Notamacropus eugenii: one gene and its partner. The main gene of each other region encodes a partner of the protein of the gene in region 2 in a complex. Links are inferred from orthologs where the notes say so. Each region holds a gene or a part of one and is shown on either strand. Other genes may lie near its edges.

The links. Proteins that work in one complex are often made in the same cells at the same time.
Region 1: the proteins of CLSPN (region 2) and CHEK1 are in contact, whole or in part, in a crystal structure (PDB 7AKO), measured with the Homo sapiens proteins. The link is inferred for Notamacropus eugenii from reciprocal best matches to the Homo sapiens genes CLSPN and CHEK1. Residues at the interface, in NP_071394.2 of Homo sapiens: Glu938, Leu940, Leu941, Leu943, Cys944, Ser945, Gly946; in NP_001107593.1 of Homo sapiens: Lys53, Lys54, Cys57, Met61, Arg129, Thr153, Val154, Phe155, Arg156, Tyr157, Asn158, Arg160, Glu161, Arg162.

What each region holds. Positions count from the first base shown.
Region 1 is NC_092876.1:172,600,425-172,611,221, reverse strand, and holds the start of CHEK1 (serine/threonine-protein kinase Chk1), read right to left. Parts: upstream 4,624-10,797; 5' UTR 2,747-4,623; coding exon 2,278-2,746; intron 1,722-2,277; exon of another isoform or gene 1,525-1,721; intron 1,425-1,524; coding exon 1,235-1,424; intron 1-1,234. UniProt on the Homo sapiens protein: Serine/threonine-protein kinase which is required for checkpoint-mediated cell cycle arrest and activation of DNA repair in response to the presence of DNA damage or unreplicated DNA.
Region 2 is NC_092876.1:83,925,444-83,936,197, reverse strand, and holds the start of CLSPN (claspin), read right to left. Parts: upstream 4,984-10,754; 5' UTR 4,746-4,983; coding exon 4,722-4,745; intron 4,590-4,721; exon of another isoform or gene 4,502-4,589; intron 1-4,501.

The DNA of each region.
Region 1 (10,797 bases), about 89 Mb from region 2:
AATTCTTATCACCAGCAGGCTCTGAATATGTGGCACAGGATACCTAAATGGTCCAGAGATAGCTATGTTGGGCACACAATGGGTACCAAAAGCTTGTTGAAACTGAGTAGCTGGATTCCTAGACCTTATTATAAAGTCATACATTCTACAGGTTTAAAAGAAAGGAAGCTAAATGAAAGAAAAATCATGATGGTTGAAGTTCCCTTCCAGTCCTTTGAAAGTAGAATGTTAAAACAAGAAAGGGTAAGAAAAGGAAAAGACATAAAAAAAAAAAAAAGAAGCCACCATTACGGTCTGCTTGTAGTTGTGAGAATTCCCTTTTCTTTTGGCCCATAATCCCCAAATCCTTGACTATGAATAAGTACCTGGCACAAGGTAGATGCTTGATTGACCCATTGACCTGGAACTGCTGATGGTTAGTCAGTAATGATTGCCACAATAATGGCTTTGACTCCCCTAATTAACAAAATAGTACCAAACTTAACGGTGGTGTTGTCATAAGGAAAATGTTTCATCACCATCATACTTCATAAGCTATACTGGATGGTTTAAGAGATAAGAGATACAATGTCTCTTTCAACCTTAGTATTCTACAACAGAAACCAGAAACAAAACAGAATAGTGCAATACTGGCTGTCCTGCTAAATAAAACATCACAACACTATATGTAGGGAAACTTCTGAAAGTTTCTACAGTAGGAAATGTTTTTGTGATAACTGGAGAAGGGAAGAAGTAAAATTAAATTTATTCCAAATTAGTATTACATACCTGGACTTCCTCCAAACCTTAAATTTAGTCATCTAAATCAGTGATATCGAATAGAAATGCATCCCTACAGGCAACATATTTAGTTAGAAACCACAAATGACCATCGTCCATGTTGTACTGTACTTTTACTCATTTTGTTAAACATTTCCCTGTTACATTTTATTGCGGTATGGGACACATTCAGGAGTTGCCCAGATGAGTCTGACACCTCCAATCTAAACTACTAGTCTAAAATCTACCGGTAGGTAGCAAGCACCTAAGAATGGCAAACAGGTGATGTAAAAAACACTAGTCTCAAGAGCCAGAAGACTTGAGATCATAGTAGGTTCTGCTATTTCTACAAAAAGTCACTTAACCTATTTAGTTTCAGTTTTCACTACCTACCACATCAAGTAGTTGCAAGGATCAAAAAAGGATAAGTATATTTGTAAACCGGCATGAATTTAGGTCAGCTCTCTTAACTTACGGAAATGCTACACAAGTCCCAGTCGGTGTTATCAATAGTATCCCAAACTTATGTCCTGCACCTGTGTAGAAGACAGCAGAACAAGAGGGGAGCTCATACTCACTCTCCATAAGCACCTTCTCCCAAAGTCTGCACCAAATCCCAGTCTTCCACAAAGGGCACAGCCATGGCTCCACCAGGAAGGGCCTCCCTGAAGCAGAAGCAGCAGACACGGAGGCCAGGTCAGTGCAAGCCTTCACTAAGCCTCCTACTAGCCTCCCTCCCCCACCTTACACTAACAAGGTCTTTACCACGTAACCTCCGACCCCTTTACATATATCCATCCTGTGACTCGTAGTTACTCATCGCGGAATGCCGGTGCGGCTTAGCGGGTACGGTGCCAGCCTCCAGGGGCACATTCTGACTCTGACTTTGGGCAAGACCCTCCAAGCCTCTCGGGCGTCCGCTCAGAAGCGCCACTTCCGCGGGGTCGGCAATCCCGGGCCGCACAAACAAACCCCGGCAGCCCCGCCCCTCTCAGAGCCCTTAAAGGGCCACGGAGGGGCGAAGGCGGGGAGCGAGGAGCGGGGCTGGACGGAGAGTCAGGGCATCCGGGTTCTAATCCCCAGGGGCTGGCTGACCTCAGGGGAGACCCTCCCCTCTCGGAGCCTCGGTTTCGTCTCCCGTAGGACGAGGACTGAGCGTAGACTATTCTAAGGTGCCTTCCGGCTCGGTCACACCGGGAGAACGCCGAGGCGGCCCCCTCCCCCCGTCCCGGGAGGCGGGGGCGGGGCCAGGGGGAGGGGAGGATAGGGAAGAGGGGTTGCCCCTCCTTCTCCCCCTCCTCCTCGGGCGGCGCTCCCGCCGGACGGGGGTCGGGGGGAGCCTCTGGTCCGGCCCTGACGAGTCCGGCCTCCTGTCCCTGGAGCTGGCTCAGAGCGCCGCTCTGCAGGCCCCTCTCCCTCCCTGCCGCCCTGTGCCCGCGCCTCGCAGCCAGAGCCCGGGTCCACCGCTCCCCCTCCTCACGGAACCAGGCCCGGCCAGGACCCCCGGGACCTGCTTACCGAGCCGCCGCCGCCGGAGGAATCCAAACGCGGAACCTTTCCCGCCAAAATTCGCCAGTCGCCTCACGACAGCAAACGTGCGCGCTCCGTGGCCGTAAAGCGAGGAGGCCGTGCGCGCTCCCGCGGCCGGAGAGGGCGCCGGGCCGAGGCGGGCCGGGCGGGGGTGACCGCAGGAGTAGACTGCGTTCTGCAGAGCCCCAGGAAAGGTAGAGTTGGAAACAGCAGGAATGGGCGGCTGGGGGAGGGGGTCCAGAAGCGCTGGAGGAGCACGTCCGCTGCAGGGGATACAATGTTTCCTCCGTCCGGGCGCAAGGCCAGGCAGGCGCCCACGCTGAAGCCCGAGCCAGCCTAGCGGAGCCTCAGCCGCGCGGTCCGGGCATCGGGAAGCTAGCGTGTTGGTCGCTGAGGCCCCGAAAATCCCAAATCCAGGGCCGTGTCTATAAAGGCAAGGAAGCAAAGACTTTACCATTTCTCCTGAATCTGATCGGTGTAGACAGCGAAGCCGGAGAAGTCAACCGCTTAGTGTCTCAAAAGACACTTCTTCCTCCAAAGAAGTTCGGTCTAAAAGGATAATCACCTGGACTCGGGCATGAGTGCCTTTTGGGTTGGAGGAGACCTTAAAAGCCTCTAATTCACCTTCTCACCCTAAGAAGGATTATCTCCAATAAGATAATCATAGAATCTTTATGATCCTATTTTACTAGTCTCAGTTCTGCTACTTAACTAGCCAGGAGACCTTAATTTAGAAAGGCCAAGGCCACCCACCGCATGTTGGGCAACTGCCCCGCTTAAATCCAATTCACGAATATGTCTTTGGACCTCAACAACAGTGGAGCCTAAGGGAGGCAGCCTTCAGCCCAGTCACATGGGCAGAGGACAGAGTGAGCCCGGCATGGGCTTCTAATATCCCACGATGTGCTGGTGGTGGGTTAGTTTCTTTTAGTGGCTTTCCTCCTCCCGAGTGAACCCTGCCTATTCTCCATAACTAATTGTTTTTTCTGACATCAAACCCAAATTTAACTGCAATCAACCCTTCGTCCAACGAGGAAGCAAGGGAAGGAGGAAAGGAAGAAAAAAGAAAACAGAGAAGGGAAGAAGGGAGAGAAAGAAAAGAAGGGAGGAAAAAAGAAGCAGAAAAGGGAGGGAAGCGGGGAGGAAGGAAAAAGTGAGCATTTAATTAATCACTTACAGTGTGCACTGTGAAGCTCTGGGGATACAAATAGAAAGGGGAGGCAGGCCCTGACACCATGTAGTAGGAAGTTTCAGCTGCAAGTCAGATGGAAAGGTCCACTGGTCCCTAGAGGAACATAGGCAAGCACATGGCAAGTCCTCAACTTTAATTTCCACAGATAAAATCGTTAATCATTTTCTGTTGTTGAACCACTTGACAATGCCAAAAATGTTGGTGGCCTTTTTTGGGTCTTCCGTAGTTATAGCTGTAATATCCATAGATAGAAACAGTTGGCAGGTTGCATCTCCAAGGGAGATCCAGCTTTCCTGGATCATGGCTGTCCCCATTCTTTAATCAACCTTTTCTTCCCAACTTAGATGCCCTTTTCTCCTGAAACCTGAGCTCCTTTGTTATGCATGGATCAGTAACCGCCTTCTTCTACAGATATCTCGATAGCATTTTATTTTGTCACTTTCATGTAATACTGTGTAATGTAGTTATTCTTGTTTTGTGGTTGTTCAGTCATATCCAACTCTTCATGACTGCATTTGGCATTTTCTTGGCAAAGATACTGGAGTGATTTGGCATTTCCTTCTCCAGCTCATTTTACAGATGAGGAAACAGGCAAATAAGGTTAAGTGACTTGCCTGAGGTCACACAACTAACAAGTGGCTGAAGCTGTATTTGAACTCAGGTTTTCCTGATTCCAGACCCAACCCTATCCACTCTGCCCCCTCACTGCCCCTAGTTACTCTAACTAGACAAGGACTTTATGTATTTCCCAGGGCCTAGCAGAATGCCCTGCATATCATCACTTATTCTCGTTCAATAAACATGCCTACCTTTAAATATTAAGTGATACCATAGTGGTAAGAATGAAAGATTTGGAGTCAGAGGAATAGTTGTTTTTAATCCTTATGTGGCTTGAAGGGAACTCTTTACTTTTACTAGTCTCAAATTTCTCCATCTCTAAAATGAAGGGGGTTGAACTAGATCCTTTCCAGTCCTAAATCCTATGTCTGTCACCGTCTGTAAGCACTATTCCTAATTCTACTATCTAGCAGTCCTGGACTGCTTTGCCTGCAAGTTGGTGGCTAAAAATCAGAATCCAAGCTTTGAAAAGACATGTTGGTTAAACTTGTATGTTACCAATCCGTGAATAAATATAGTTTCTTGGCTAATAGATATCCAAAGGATAGATTGTTAGAGATGTACAGGACCGTAACAATTAATTAGCCCAACTGCCTCATTTTATAGAGGAGGAAACTGAAATGGAGCAATGAAATGGCGTTTGAAAGGTCACCCAAGGAGCAAGTGGCAAGACTGAATAAAAGAAAAAGCATTTATTAAAACATTTATTTGAATACTATGCCAAGTACTGGGAATACAAAAGTAAGACAACCCTTGCCCCCCACAGAACTGACATTTTAATCAGGGTGACTGTACATATAAAGAAGTGGTGACCAGGGAAAGAACTTTCCTCTGGGTAGTTTCAGAACTGATAACTTGTTAATTGCATTGAGTTACTGTTTTCAAGAGCAAAAAGTAGAAAGTGTATATGTTTGGGAGTTGGGTGAAGAGGTGACATGCCCTCTTTGGCAGCAGGGCAGATGGCAAGATGATTTTGATGAGCTGTGGAATATGGTCTGGCTGGGGGGTTGCTACATATAGTAGGCTAGCTGAATTTGTCCTTATATAGTAATCATTTCAACTCAGGCCCAGGATGGGAGTTCCACAGCCCAGTAGATTAAAGTCTTTTGGACTCCAGAAGCAAGTACTTTTCTTACTACTTCACACTGTTTCCCCAGCACAAGTTGTCTGAGCCCATTTTCTCACCTATAAAGTGGGGACAAATAACATTTGCATTATCTTCCTAAAAATAAGTCTGATAATATCTCCCTATTCAATAAACTCCATTGGCTCCCTATTACTTCCAGAATAAAATATGAAGTTTTCTGGCTTTTAAAGTCCTGCATAACCTGACCTCTTCTTAGCTTTAGTCTTCTTACACTTTACTCCCCTCCATATACTGTGTGATCCAGTGACACTGACCTTTTCACTGTGACACGCACACACACAGACACACACAGACACACACATACACACATACACCCAACAACACTCCATCCTCGACTCTGTATTTTCACTTCTATTCCACGACTGGAATTTTCTCCCTCCTTCTGGCTTCCCTGCCTTCATTTATATCTCAGCTAAAATCTATAAGAAGCTTTTCTCAGCCCTCTTTAATTATTAGTGCCTTTCCTCTGTATGTCCAACTTAATCCTGTATAGATTTTGTTTGTACGTTATTGTTTGTTGTCTCCCCAATTAGATCATGAACTCCTTAAAGGTATTTTCTTTCACCTTTCTTTGTATCCCCAGCATTTCACACATTGTCATGCATAATAATACTTGTTGATTAAATTTCCGTCTCAGTCAATAAACATTTATTAGGAGAAGGAAAGGGAATAAGCATTTATGTAGCATCTATTATGCGCCAGTCACTGTACTAAATGCTTTACAAATACTTTATACGATCCTTACAATAACCCTGCTAAATGGAGGCAGAGATTAAATGAACTGCAGAATCACAAAACTAACAAGTTATCTGAGGCCAGATATGAACTCTTGGTCCCACACTCTATCCAATGTGTCACCTAGCTGCCTAGAAGCACTACTGTGTGACAAATACTATGGTAATCACTGGGAATATAAAGAAAAGCAAAAGATAATCCCTCTTCTTGAGGAGCTTGAGTTTAAAGGGGGAGAAAGCATGTAAACAATTAGGTACAAACAAGGCATATACAGAACAAATTAGAGATAATCAGTGGAGGAAAGGCACTAGAATTCAGGGGAATCAGGAGAGTCTTCCAGTAAAAGACAGGATTTTGGATGAGATATGAAGGAAGCTAGAGAATAGGGAAGCTAAGGGGTAGAAAGGAAAAGAGAGAATCCTAGGCATAGGAAACAGCTAGTAGAAATGCAAGAAATTCAGTGTCTTTTTTGAGGACCAATAAGGAGGCCAGGGTCACTGAATTGCAAAGTACATGGCAGATGTAAGATTATTGGAAGACTGGAAAGTTGAGGTGGAGGATCAGGTGATAAGGGACTTTAAAAGGCAATGAGGTGTGCTATTTGATCCTGGAAGTGATATGAAGCCATGTAATGGGGGTGGGGAAGAGCAGGACATGGTCAACCTGCACTGGCAGCTGAGTAGTAGATGGCCTGGAGTGAGGAGAAATTTGTGGCAAGGAAAAACAACATGGGCTGTTATAATAGGTAAGACTTGAGCTGATGAGGGCCATCACTAAGATGGTGGCAGTGACATCAAGAAGGAGGTGAATATGAGAGAGTTTGCAAAGGTAAAGTTGACAGGACTTGGCAACAAATTGGATAAGGGGCATTAGAGTGAGGGCATCAAAGACGACAGCAAGATTGGAAGCCGTGGTAACTGGATGATGTTACTCTTAACAAAAATAAGGAAGTTAGGGAGAGGGGAAGGTTTGGAGGGGCAAAGAAGATGACTTCAGATCTATGGGACATCCATTTAGAGATGCCAGTTTGGGATAAGCAAAGAGTTTAGGGCTAGATAAGTAGATTTGAGAATCATTAGCATAGAGATAATTGAATTTCACAACAGCTGATAAGACCACCAAATGAAAGGGAGAAAAGAAGAGGGCCAAGGACAGAACCCTGTGGGACACCTATGAATAGCAGGCAGGATCTGGATGAAAATCTAAAGGAGACTGAAAATGGGTAGTCAAATAGAAAGGAGAACCAAGAGAGAGTCAGGAAAACCTACAGAGAAAGAAATGTGAAGAACGGGATAATCAACAGTGTCAAAAGCTGTGGAGAAGTCAAGGTTAAGAATTGAGAAAAGGTCATTAGATGTGGCATGAGTTCATTGGTAAGTTTGGAAAAGACAGTTTCAATTGAATAATGAGATCAGAAGCCAGACCATAGAGAGTTAAGAATGGAAAGGAAGAGGAGGCACTTATTTTAGATGACTTTTTTAAGGAGTTTAGCCACAAAAGGGAGGAGAGATTTGGCGTAGTAACTATGAGGGATGGATAGATCAAGTATTTTTTGAGAATGGGAGAGAAATGGGTATATTTGTAGGCATTAGGGAAGTAGAGAAATTACAGATGTGAGAAAAGAGGAATGATAGAGGGGGAAATATACTGGAGAAGATGAGTTAGAATAGGGCCACATGTATGTTTATAGGGGTTGCCTTGACAAGGAGAAGGTTCATCTTAGATGTGAATTGAGAGGGAAAAGCAGGCTCTCAGGAAATGGCCACAATTTTTTTCAATGAAGTATGAGGCAAGGTTTTCAGTTGAAAGGATAAGGGAAAGGGGAGTTACGGGAGTTTTGAAAAGTGATCAAAAGGTTTGGAAAAGTCACTGTGCTGAGTGGGAAAATGAGCTAATTAGGGAGGTACAAAAAGGACTGTCTTGAAGCAGGGAGGGCCTAATTAGCATAACTTTGTTAATGTACGCACATACACATATAATATTGGTTGATTGGTTTTTGTCCTTTATTCTCAAAGACTAAAATGACATCAGTCTATTGGAGTCAAGATACAAGTTATCCAACTGTGGTCAATTAGATAAATATAAGCTTGAAAAGCTCTACCACAGGTCTAACACAAATGGTTCACATGAATCCACATTTGGAGTGGAGATGTCTCTAAATTTGCACATTTCACATTTCTTTTGAGCTATTGCAACTCTGCTTTGCTCATACAGCACAGTGCCTTCTTTTATATGGGCACCCCATGCTGGGAGGTGTTGTGCCAGCATCTCCCATGTCATGCAATAGATTCCAGAGTTCTTCAGAGAGATCTTGAAAATGACCTCCACGTGAGATCTCTATAAAATATCTTTTAGGCAGCCATATGTTTGACATTTGGACAACATGGCCAGCCCATTGGAGTTGCACTCTTTGCAGTAGTTTGAATACTTGGAAATTTAGCTTGAGAAAGAACCTCAGTGATCTTCAGAATCCTCCTAAGACAATTCAAATTAAAGTGATTCAGTTTCCTGGCATGGTGCTGGTATACTGCCCAGGCTTACAACAATGAGGTCAGCACAGTGCCTCTGTAGTCCTTCAGTTTGGTAGGCAGTCTAATACCTCTGATCTCCCACACTTTCTTTCTGAGCCACTCATACACTGAGCTAGCTCTGGTGATGTGTGAATCAACCTCATCATCTGTGTATACATCCCTGGAAAGTACACTGCCAAGGTGAGTGAACTTATCTGCAGCATTCAAAATCTCTCCATTTGCTGTAACTGATGGTTCCACGTATGGATGGTGCAGTACTGGCTGGTAGAGAATCTGTTTTCTTGGTGTTAATTGTTAGGCAGAGAACTACAAGCAGCAGAGAAACAATCCATACTTTGTTGTGTTTTGGCCTCAGAGGCTTCAATGAGGGCACAATCACCTACAAACAAAATATCACGCACCAACTCTCCCTCCACTGGATGCTATCACCATGGCTTTGTGGTTTCCAGTGCTTAAGCAACAGTGCCTGACACGTAATAGATGCTTAATATTTATTGATCAACTGATTTTCTCCAGATTCATTTTGAAACACATGAATAAGAGTGAAGATAGCTTATGGTGGGAGCATTACAGGGCTGAGATGGAGCAGGGCAAGATTGGTGATAGGAAAAAAGGGCAAGGGGTTCAAGAGAAGACAACAGTGTAGACTTAAACTGGTTTACTAAGGGGTCAAGATGGAAAAGGGAGAAGAATATCTCCTGTCTTCGTGTAACCAATGAATGCTTACTGTATTTCAGACACCATGCTCCATATTGGAGATATTAAGTCTTATAAGACTGGCCTTTGCACTTAATGGGCTAAAAGTCTAATTGATAAGGTTTTTAGAGTATTTTTAGATTTTTAGTAGATTAGTAGTATTTTTAAAGTATCTAAAAAGTAGATTAGTAGATTTTTAAAGTATCTACAAAGGGTTGAATAATCTCTTCACTTACTCATCTTCAAAATGAGGGATTTGAACTAGAGGGTCACCAGGTCAAATGCTATGATGCCCTAAGGCAGGGGTGGGGAATCTGTGGCCACATGTAACCTTCTAGGTCCTTGGACTGAATCCAAACATTACAGAACAAATCCTCTTGCTGTGAAACTTGGACTCTGTCAAAAGGCTTCAGGCAAGTACCTAAAAGACCACATGTGACTTGGAGGCCACAGGTTCCCCACCCCTGCCCTAAGGTAACATATGGCTAAGTATCAGGTGACTGGCACAAAATGCTACCATGGTTCTGGGACTCCTGAAGAGAACTTTCCTCATGCCTCCAGTTATTAGTGCCCTCACCACTACCCGCAGTCCCATATTACTTTTTGTTAACTTTTTAAAAAAACTTGGGATCTGTGAAAATGTATCTGTGAAAAAAAAAATTATCCGTGTTGCCAAGTAAAAGGCACAAAATACTACAAAGGTTCTGAAAGTCCTAGAGGAGAACCTTCCTGATCCCTCCAGTTATTAGTGGACCACCACTACCACCACCATATTATTTTATATTTACTTTTTTTTTTACTTTGGATTTTAAAAAATTTATCTGTGCATATGTTGTTTTTCCCCAATAGAATGTAAGCTCTTTGAGGGCAAAAACTTTCATTTTGTGTTTTTATTCACAATAGAATGCCTGGCATATAGTAGGTGCTTAATAAATGCTTAAGTAAATTGAATTGGGAAGGAACTATCAGTGAAAACTGGGGGTCTCAGGGTCTCAGACAGAGATGAAACAGAAACACAGGACACTTCTAGATTTAGAGGACCTGTGCTAAAAATTTCTTGAAGTTATATAAAAAATAGCACCAAAGAAGAAGTGAAAGTAATTTGAATCTAAAAAATTACTTTTAAACCTTTTCTCTGTAAATGTGCTAATTATTGGTGAACAATCTAATTTTTGAGCAAGGAAGCCCAATATAGGATAATAGTGTGCCTTCATCTTGCATTCATCTTCTGACTTACTATTTTACTTTGAGCCTTAGATGAAGATTGTCTGATTGCCCTTCCACCTTCATTAGAAGCCACTCATAATCTCATAATCAACAAGGAATTGCCTGATAAGAGATACAAGGTCTATACCCTACCACCTAAGATTAGCCAACTCTGTTTCCTACTGCTAGCCTTGAGATTTCAACTTCCTAGTCATAATGATGGCATCTAGGGCGTTAGGCAGCTCCATTATATTGGGAGGTTTCTATCAGGTTTCCACAAGGCAGCCCAGAATGGCCGAGATTGGGACTGTAGTGACCTGAGATTCTATTGGCTCGTGACTGCGACTAAGACTGCTAGAGACCAGCATTTTATGGGGAGATTC
Region 2 (10,754 bases):
CAAAATCATAAAGGATTTTTTTCTCTAAGAGAATAGCTTATAGAATTAGGTGAAATAATGATAAAGCTCATTTGAAAGACCAAAAGGTCTAGCATAAAAATGGAAATAATGAGAAAAAGTATGAACAAAGAGAGCATATAATTACCAGATCTCAGACTATATTATAAAGCAATAATCATTAAAACTATTGAGTACTGATTTTAAAAAAAAATCCAGAAAAGTACATCAGCAGAACATACTAGACAATGAAGTAATAGAAGCAACTGAAAACAGTAGTTCAGTATTTGATAACCCAAGTAAATAAATTTCTATAAAAAGAATTCCCTTTCTGACAAGAATTCTTGGGGAAGCAGTCTGACAAAAATTAGATTTAGACTAATATCTTAGATCAAATACTACAAAAGCTCAAAATGGGTATTCAATCTAAATATGAAAGGTCACACCATAGGAAATAAATTTTAAAAAATGAAATCAGGTATCTTTCATACTATGACTGGAGGAAGAATTCAACTAAATAAGAGATAAAGGAGATCATAAAATATAAAATGGATAACTTTCACTGCTTAAAACTAAAAGATTTTTGCACAAATAAAATCAATGAAGATAGAATAAGAAAAGAAATTATCAGTGGGGAAAAGTATTTGCAGCAAATATTACTTTAAAAAAGGGTCTGAAATCCAACATATAGAAGTAACTGACACAAACATCTAATTATCATCAAGTTTCCTAACAGGTCAAACAACATGAACAATTTTCAAATGACAAATCACAGACTTTGACCACATGAAAACAGCCTCTCACTAATAATGAGAATAAATACAATTCAAACAACTCTGAGATTTCAGCTCTTATGAGGCAAAGATGGCAAAGATGATAAAAGATACAAATAGTGTTGGAGGGGCTGTGGGAAGACAGGCACACTGATGGAGACCTGGGAAATGGTCCAACCACTCTGGATATCATCAGCAGCATCATTTTCCTCCCTCTCCTCCTCCTCCTCATTACTAATAGCATTTATATAATGCTTACCCACATGCCAGGCACTATGCTAAATGCTTTACAAATATCATCTCATTTGATCCTCCCAACAACCCTGGGAGGTAAGTACTATTATTATTCCAAATTCATAGCTGAGAAAACTGAGGCAGGCAGAGCAGAGGTCCCAGGGTCACTTTGTGTCTGAGGCCAGATTTGAACTAAGTTCTTCCTGATTCGCAAGCCATGCATTGTATCTACTGTCCCACCTAGCTGTCTATTTGGAGTTATATAAGAAAAGGGACTGAAATGTCTCTCCCTTTGAACCATTTATCCCTGGCACATACCCCAGTGGAATCAAAGATGAAAACAAAGAATCAACATATACCAAAATATTCACAGCAGCACTCTTTGTCACAGCAAGGAACTAGAAACAAAATGGGCACCTATCTATTAGAAATGGTTGAAAAACCTAAGGTATATGAAAATAATGGAATAGTATTGTTCAATACAAAATGGTTAAATTAGAAGCATGGAAAATCTTTATGAACTGATACAGAGTAAAATGAAAACTAAGAAAAATATACAGATACTATACATACATTTACAATAACATAAATTAAAAGATCACAAAAAGTCATCGAAAAAGTCAAAGACAATTCAACAGAGCTACTATTAAAATATAACTGCAGCTCATGACAGAAACGTAAGGAACAACTAGAACAGAATATTGTAGATGTTACCAGATGGGATCACTTTATTGGATGTTTTTGCTTTTTTCTTTTCACAAGGGAGGGGTAAAGTGGCTAACATAAATACCAAAGACTGATAATAGGTATTTTTCTGAAAAGAGGAAAGGACAACATTAGACTAAACTCTGGGGAGGGGAAGCTACAACTTCCAGGTCACATGTGGCCCTCTAGATCCTCAAGTGTGGCTCTTTGACCGAATCCAAACTTCAAGGGCTGTACGTGAGGGCTTAGAGAGCCACATGTGTCCTCGAGGTCACAGGTTCCCCACCTCTGGCCGTTGTGTTTGTCCTTCATTCTCGAAGAGGACCATGACATCAAGATAATGACATGCAGTTGACTTTGCTTTGAGTGAGGGAGGGCTGTAAAAAGTCACCAACCTGACTTTCTTCTTAGGTCCAGTGGCCTGATATTCTCCGACTGGAGATGGCCCAGGATGCAATGTGAGACCCTGGCCCTTTCAGGCTGTCTTATCACTTTCTCACTTTGAGTGAGATCCACCCTTTCAATGAATAGGCTTCAAGGGATGGCCTCTTTAATCCAAAAAAAAAAAAACAAAACCAAACTGGCAGGGGAAGACCCTCAGGGTCCCTGGGTAAAAGAAACAGTTACTATTTAGTGGGCAATGGAAGGTTCCCTAGTAGACAATCTTAGAAGTCTGATATTCTGATCCTATTAGGTAACCAACACATAATTCTTTCAGGATGCTGATTAGATGTAGCTCACCCTCTACTTTCTGGAAGCAACTAGTTACTAAGCATAATTCTGTTTTTATAGTTTAATATATTTTGCATATGCTTATGTACATGTTTTCTCCAACAGAATGTAAAGTCCCTGAAACCAGGAACTGTTTTCTCTTTGTCTTTGCATCTGTAGCACCTAGCACAGTGCAGTCACATAGTAGGCACTTAACAAAACTGAATCAACTGTATGAATTCAGTCAGATCTTGGAATAATTAGAGCAAAGGTCAAAGTAATTAGAAAAAGGATAAAGATGAGTAAATACTAGATGGATTTACAACAATTCCTACCTAATGTATTTATATAAGCTCTTAGCTCTGAAAGAAAAAATGAAACACACAGTTAGTGGTACAGATTGCTGGACATGGAACTATATAATATATAGAAATATAACATATGAAACCCATGTTTGATATCTGCCTTAGACACTTATTACTGTGTGACCCTGGGAAAATCACTTTGTGCCTGGAGTTCCCACATCTGTAAAATGGGACAGTAATAGCACCTATCTCACAGGGTTCTAGTGAGGATCAAACATGTTAATATGTGTAGTGGTTTGCAGACCCTAAAGTACTTTTATAATAGACAAAAATAAAGACATCAACTGATTATCACCATTCTTAGAGAAATTTAATTGATATAAAACAATCACCAAAACAGTAAAAGCGAGAAAACTTACAAACAAAGCCAGGAAATACTCAGTCTCCTTGTCAAGCAGACATGGCAGCCAAGTGAGACAAGAGCATTTGCAAATTCTTAGGAAGAGCTGAAGTTTAGCTCAGAAAACACTGTGAAAGCCTTAGAGAAAAGGAGTCTACAGAAATCTTGACGTGAGACTCAAATAAAAAAGATCATTCCAACAGTATTTTACAAAACTGGAAAGGAAACATATATAAATAAAATGGAGCATATCTGCCAGCATTTTTACAGAAATATATTCTCATAATCAATTACAATGGAACTACTATATATGAACTCCAGATGTGCTGGCACTGAAATGTAAATGGCACTCAGGAAAATGAAGTTCTTTAAAAAAAAATGTACCTGCATGACAAAATAAATAATGAAAGCTACACAATTTTAAAGATAATCTGGAGGACATATTCAGGATATCTCAAATAAAAGGATTCCTTAAAAAACTGGAAAAGATGGTGGATGGCATAATGATTCAACAGAACTAACCAAGAAGACACTAACAACTACTAAACTATAGGCCTAATTTCTCAACCCTACAGATTCTTTGATATAGCCACACTTTTTTGTGACCGCAAAGAACTGGAAACAAGGTAGATAGAATAAAATGAAATACTGCCACTGAGATGACCTAATGGAGAGAGGGCCAATCAGGAAGACCTAAGTTAAAATTCAATCCAGCCTCCAACACTTTACAGCTATGCGACCCTGGACAAGTCACTTAACCTGCCTGCCTCAGTTTCCTCATCTGTAAAACATGGATAATAATAGCATCTATCTTCCAGTTGTGAGTATCAACTGAAATAATATTTGTAACAAGCTTTGGCTCAGAGAAAAGATAATTTAATTGGGATATTTGAAGGCTGTCATGTGGAAGAAGGATTAGCCTTGTCTTGCTTGGTGGGGAGCCAGAACTAGAAAATAAATGAGAAGAGTTTGGAAAGAGGCAGATTCGATCTCTGTAAAAGGGGGGGAACCCCAAATTTCTTCATTAAAGCTGTCCAAAACCAGAACGGACTGCCTTGGGCTGCTCCAATAGAAGCTGGAGGACCATTTTCCAGGTTCAGGTTTGACCTGGTACTGTTTATCCTAACTAATCACTTAATCTCTTTATGCCTCATTTTCTCCGGGGAGGGTCGGACCAGATGACCTCTAAGCCTCCATTCAGCTTTAAAATCTATGAACCACGTGATCCTACATAGCCCTGCTGTTTCCAACAAAATAAAATGTTATGGGATCGATCATTAGAAGGGACTCTTAAAGCTCACACGACTAGGACGTATCAAAACCGGCTTTCCTAGGCTCTCTGACGCCGAATCCACGCTCTACTTAACCCCCTTTACCTTCTCTCGCACCCCAAAGCCGGAGCACCTTTTAATCCCCGTATTCCTAAGGGACCCATCGGGAAACTAACCCCTGTCACCCGCCACCGGCTTCCGTCAATTCCTGCCAGGAGCGGTAGTCCCCCGAAGCCGCGGGGTATGCTGGGATTTGTAGTTCCCACCCCACATTACCGCCACCCCCTCCCCCGACTGTGAAAGGTATCCCAGTGCCCCCACTCACCTCAGCCGCCACCTCGCCTGCCATGGCCTTCGGCACACGAGAGCTTCTCTCTGGAAGAACTAGAAGCGCTGCTGCCGCCGCCAGCGCCGTTCACTCAGACCCCGGGCCCGACGCCGCCCCTACTTCCTCAGCCTCTGTGCAGACTCAACTCCCGCCACAGCCGTTCGAGCTTTCGCGCTCAGTCCAGGCTGAGGCCCCGCCTCTGCCGCTTCCGACCAATCCCCACGGCCCTCACGCGGACGTCACGGAGATCCCCCCTCCCCTTTGGCGCGGCCAAGCCTGCTCTGCTTTAGCGGGAGGCGCTTGGCGCGCGCTTGTCTCCCCGCCCTTTGCAGGCGAGTCTCTGGGGGGCGCTCTCCGCAGGCGGTCCTAGGGTCCTCCGGTCCCTGTGGTCAGGCGTGGGGACCTTTGACTCTTCCCCAGCTTGGGACTGCGCGTTCCTAAGTTCGCCTGGGTGGCTGCAGCCCGTCAGGCGGCGGGCCCTGAGATAGTTTTTGCCCTGCCCCGGCTTCTGTGGGGGCTCTGCTGGGGCTGAGGCCCCCTCTGTGAGGGCACCCTGGCTTAGGGCCCCCCTCGTGGGGCGCCCCGGAGATAGGGTCCACCTCGTGGGGCTCCCTGGCTTAGGGCCCACCTCGTGGGGTGCCCCGAAGATAGGGTCCACCTCGTGGGGCTCCCTGGCTTAGGGCCCACCTCGTGGCGTGCCCCGGAGGTAGGGTCCACCTCGTGGGGCTCGCTGGGGGTAGGACCCACCTCATGGGACATCCTGGCTTAGGGCCCACCTCGTGGGGCGCCCCGGGGATAGGGTCCACTTCGTGGGGCTCCCTGGCTTAGGGCCCACCTCGTGGGGTGCCCCGGAGGTAGGGTCCACCTCGTGGGGCTCCCTGGGGGTAGGACCCACCTCATGGGACATCCTGGCTTAGGGCCCACCTCATGGGGTGCCCCAGGGATAGGGCCCATTTTGTGGGGCACGCAGGGACAAGGGCCTCTCTCTAGGAGGGGCTTTCTTAGCCTAGCGCCCAAATCCTGGGGATCACCAGTTTTAAGACCCACATTATGGGTTTTCCCAGCTCTGTCTGAGGCCTACTTTGTGGAGTCTTCTCTGTGGGAAGCCTTCCAAGGTGAAAGGCCCTCCCTTTGGGGACTGAATCAGTTTTCCGGGGCATAAGGCTCTCCTTATGACCTCCAGCCCTCTCTTGGGAAGCTTTCTGAGTCTGATTTGTGAAGACTTCCATCTACAAGCTAGTTCTTGTGGATCTCCCTAGATCTAGGACCCCTAAATAACCTAGACCTGTTCCTCTTTTAACTTTTTAGTCTTCAGAGGACAGAAATTGTCCATATTCAGTCACACCTGACTCTTTGTGACCCCATTTGGCATTTTCTTGGCAGAGATACTGGAGTGGTTTGCCATTTCCTTCTCCAGCTCATTTTACAGATGAGGAAGCTAGTGACTTGCCCACGGTCACACAGTAAGTGTCTTAGGCCAGATTTGAACTGGGAAAGATGAGTCTTCCTGACTCTGAGTCCCACACTAGCTGCCACAAAGGATAGAAAGAACATAGTCAAGTCATCCCTTTTTACCTCGAGTCCACATTGCTATTACCCAAAGCTGTGCCTTTTATGTGGTGTGTGGAGTGGCCCACCTCACAAATCACATGGGAAAAGTGTGAGAGCCTCTTTCTTTTTAGATTTAGAATCAGGGTTTAGATCCCAGCTCTGCTACTGTGTACCTGTCTGACTTTAGGAAAGACTGTTCTCCTCTCTAGGTCTTCGTTTCTTCCTTAGCATTATTGAGGAAGGGAAAGAGAGAGGAAATCTATGAGGACATAGTATTATCATTCTTATAAAATGCAATCATTATTTTGGATATTTTTTAATTGTTAATTTTTGGCATAAGAGAGAGTTTGATCTGGAGCAGGGGAGGGTTTTGTGGTTGTTTTTTTTCTTTTTCCAGAGATGACCATAAAGACAAAATCCACTAATGAAACATTTTTTAAAAACATTAATTAAAAGGTGAGGATTGAACTAGATGACCTTACAGTTCTAAATCCTTTGATTTTGTTCAGGGTTAATAAGAAACATGGAAGCTGCCTCTACTCCTCTAGGACTCCCTGAATTTGAAGTGTGGAAGCTGCCAACAACCTCAGTGATTCAGGAAGAGGAGCTACTTTTATGAGAATGGTAAACTATGAATCTCTGCTCAGAAACCTGGCAAAGCTAAGTAGTGAAGGGTTTGTTTTTTCTTTCATCCCTAGAGAAGCACTGCCACCCTGTGGTGTACTGATCCTCCTAAAATACACTGTAGGATTTTTAGCAGTTATGTCAGTCAGTGACTCTGTAAATGCATTTTCTATTCATAATTTCAGCGGACATAAGTCAGTAAGCACAATAAGCACCTATTATGTTCCAGTGCTAAGCACTGAGATTATAAAGGCAAAAACAAGCCAGCATTGAGATGCGTTGTTTAGACTTCCTTTTCTGAAAGAACTCATTATCCATCTCCTGCCTTTCTTCACTGACACAAGCCATTCCCCCGACCTGAAATGAACTCCTTCATTTCCATATCTTAGAATCTTTATCTTCGTTCAGGGTAAGCTCAAATTCTGCCTTATTCCTTCCCTTACATATTTTTATTATATACGGGGTAGCATCAGACTAGGAATTAGGAGACCTGGATTCTGGTCCTAGTACTTCCAAGAGATGTGATGAGAAATAAATGGACACACTTATTTAGCAGCTTATTGTATCAGAAGCAGAACTAGATTTGGGGTTAGAGGATTTGGGTTTGAAATCTGACACTACAGTTTGCTAAATATGTGACAAGGGGGTCTTAGTTTATTCATCTACAAAATGAAGAGGTTGGAATAGATGGTTTCCATAAGTCCCTTCCAGCTTTAATTCTTTTTTTTTTTAGTTTTTATTAACGTTTTCTATTTCTGTATCACCACAATTTCCCATGTATCTTTCCCCTGCCTCCTCCTGCTCCCAGAGAGCCATCGCATATGATAAGTATTTTTTTAGATAGAAGAAAAGGCAGTATAACTGATAAACACATTAGAAAGGTCTGAAAATATGTGTAACACCTGTCCACTTCCCACCTCCATGAAAGGATAGGTGTGGAGTGTCATCTCTTCTTTTGAGTCCTTCTTAATCTTTATAATTTTGTTGCATTTACTTTTTTAGTCATTGTTCTTTCCATTTGCATTGTTGTAGTCACTGTGTATGTTGATTTCTTGCCTCTGCTTAATTCACTCTATATCAGTTCATATATATCTTTCCATACTTCTCTTTTTTGTCACATGCATCATTTCTTATAGCATGGTGATATTCCATTACATTCGTGCACTACAATTTGGTTAATTGTTTACCAGTTAATGGGCATCTACTTTGTTTCCAATTTTTAGCTATCACAAAAAGTGCTGCTATAAATATTTTGAAGTATGTGGGGACTTTTTTCCTATCAGTGGCTTCCTTGAGGTATAAATTCAGTTATGGAGTCTCTAGTTCAAAGGATATTTTGGTCACTTTATTTGCATAATTCTGAAATGGTTGTACTATTTCACAGTTCCACCAACAATGTATTAATATGCCAATCATCCAACAACCCCTCAAACTTTGATGATTGCCATTTTTTATCATTTTTGCCGGTTTATAAAGTGTGATGTGAAACTTCAGTTTTGTTTGGGTTTGCATTTTTTTTTTTATTACTAGTGATTTGGAGCATTCTTTCATGGAGTTGTGAATACTTTGCAGTTCTTCTTTTGGAAACTGTTCATATCCTCTGACCATTTATCTATTGGGAAATGGCTATTTTATATATATATGTATTTATTGATTATCTATCTATAGGATACCAAACTCTTATCAGAGAAATTTAATACAAAGATTTTTTTTTCTCATTTGACCACTTCCGAGTATTAGCTTTTCCATTTCATGTTCTCTCTTTTGCTATAAACACAGTATTATGTTCCTTCAATTACTTTAATCTTTTTTTGAGGTGGCCCTGTTCCCACTGGCTCTCTTCCCTACACCTCTGATCCCCTCTTTTCATTTGATACCCCTTTCCCTTTAGGATTTTGTTTATTAGTTCCTTTTTCTCTCTTGCTATTATGTGGTTATATATTTCTTTTCCCTTTTTTTCCTCTCAGTCAAATAGATTCTTCTTCCTCTCCTGCAAATCAGTTAATTCTGTTCCTTAGATTTCTAATTTCATTTTTTATACCGTTTTCCAAAAAGGGTTTCTCTTACTCTCTTCATTATCCCTCTTTCTGTTTATTCTAGACCCTCATTCTCTGATTCATGACCCCTATAATTATTTTTTTTCTTTTTACTCTGTATTCTTCATGCAGTCAAAGCTTCTAAAGTATCCATTCCAGGATCTCCCTTGTAGGTGCTTTCTGCTACTGCCTCATAGGAATTGCCCCAAGGATTTACCTTTTCCATTGTACCATACTCTCAGAACATTGCTATTTATTTCAGTTGTCAGAGAGGACATTGCCCCATGATAGGACCCCTCACCCACCCTGTCCCTAATTGGATGGGTCACCATTGATCTATACCCTCTCTTGTTGATATTTTTTCTACATTTGCCTGGAAATCTCCTTGTGTCCCCATGTTCTCCCACTCCTCCAAATGCTACTTTTCCCTAGGCATTCCAACTTCCTCCCTCCTAGGACAAGTAGACTTTTAAGCACCAAATCCCCCAAGTATCATCCAGTCATCTGCCTTCCCCAGCCTTCTCTCTTAACCCATAGGAGCGTTCATCAGCAAAACCCCTTCTCATTTCCAAAGTAAGGCCTCCTTCCTTTTGCCCCTCTTCCTTCAGTGTTTCCCCACTCCTCACTCACTCTTCTGTAGGTTCTTCTCTTTCTAAGACCACACAAGCATGTTCCCCTCTTTGGTAGGCCTTGATTTGACCCTACTGCATCACTTATTTCTCTATCTCCCTGCTCCTCTCCCACCTTTTTATGTACCTTCCTGTGTTGTAATATAGTTCCACAAAAGAAGAACTCACCTGTACACAGAGTGTTGCTGAATTCTATCCTTAATACCCCCAGTCTGCCTCTTCGCTGTTATCTCTACCAAATTTCTGCCTTCACTCCTGTCTCTACATTTAATAGAACATTCATTCGCTCCTGCATTTATGTTTTTTGGGGTGTTTGAGAGGCAAATCTCTTCAGTTATGATTTTCTTTCTAAAAATATTTCTAACTCTTCTTTATTATTGAATGTCCAGGTCTTTTGTCCTCTCTGGTTAAGTTCAGATTTGCAGGATAGGTGACTCTGAACACATCCCTCCTCCTTTCTCTGGTAGGTATAGAACAGTCTTCCATTATTCGAATGTCCTTTCCTTTGTATTTGAAGGACCTTTTCTTGATGATTTGAAGATTCTGTTGTTTCTGAGTTGAATTGTTAAGTTTTGTTTGTTTGTTTTTCTGAAAGCAATTTGTGAATTTTTTCAACTGGAATTTCATTTTATGTGTTTAGAAGTTCTAAGTTATTCTCTTCTATTATTTCTGTTATGTTCTTATAGAAGACCTATAATCCTTAGCTTGTGTCTGTGTGGCCTGTCTTTAAGTTCATTATGTTTTGCTTGCATAGTGAGCATGTTTTCTTTTAACTGCTATTGTTTTTTGTTTCTTTTCTTCTAAGTTGCCCTTCACTCTTAAGTTTTGCAGTCGCAGTCTATCATTCTCTTCTTTGTTTCTTTGATGAGTCTTGTCACTGCAGATTCAAATTTTTCTATTCTGTTCATTATTTTTGCTGTGCAGGACATGAATTCTCTCATAATTCTTATTTTTCTTTTAGACCACTTAGGAATAGACAGGGTCCTCCGTTTTATCAAGTGTTGGATCATTTTCCTTTAATTTGCAATATTTATTTATAGATGCCTAAACTCATTTACCAGATCTGGAGGCCATATTTCCTTCTGCTGTCACCATTTTTCCTGTTGATTTATCTGTTTATGTTCAAAGTCTATGAGTTTTCTTCTTCCTGAAATCTTGGGTGCTTTCAGTCTCCCCCCACTGCCATCCCC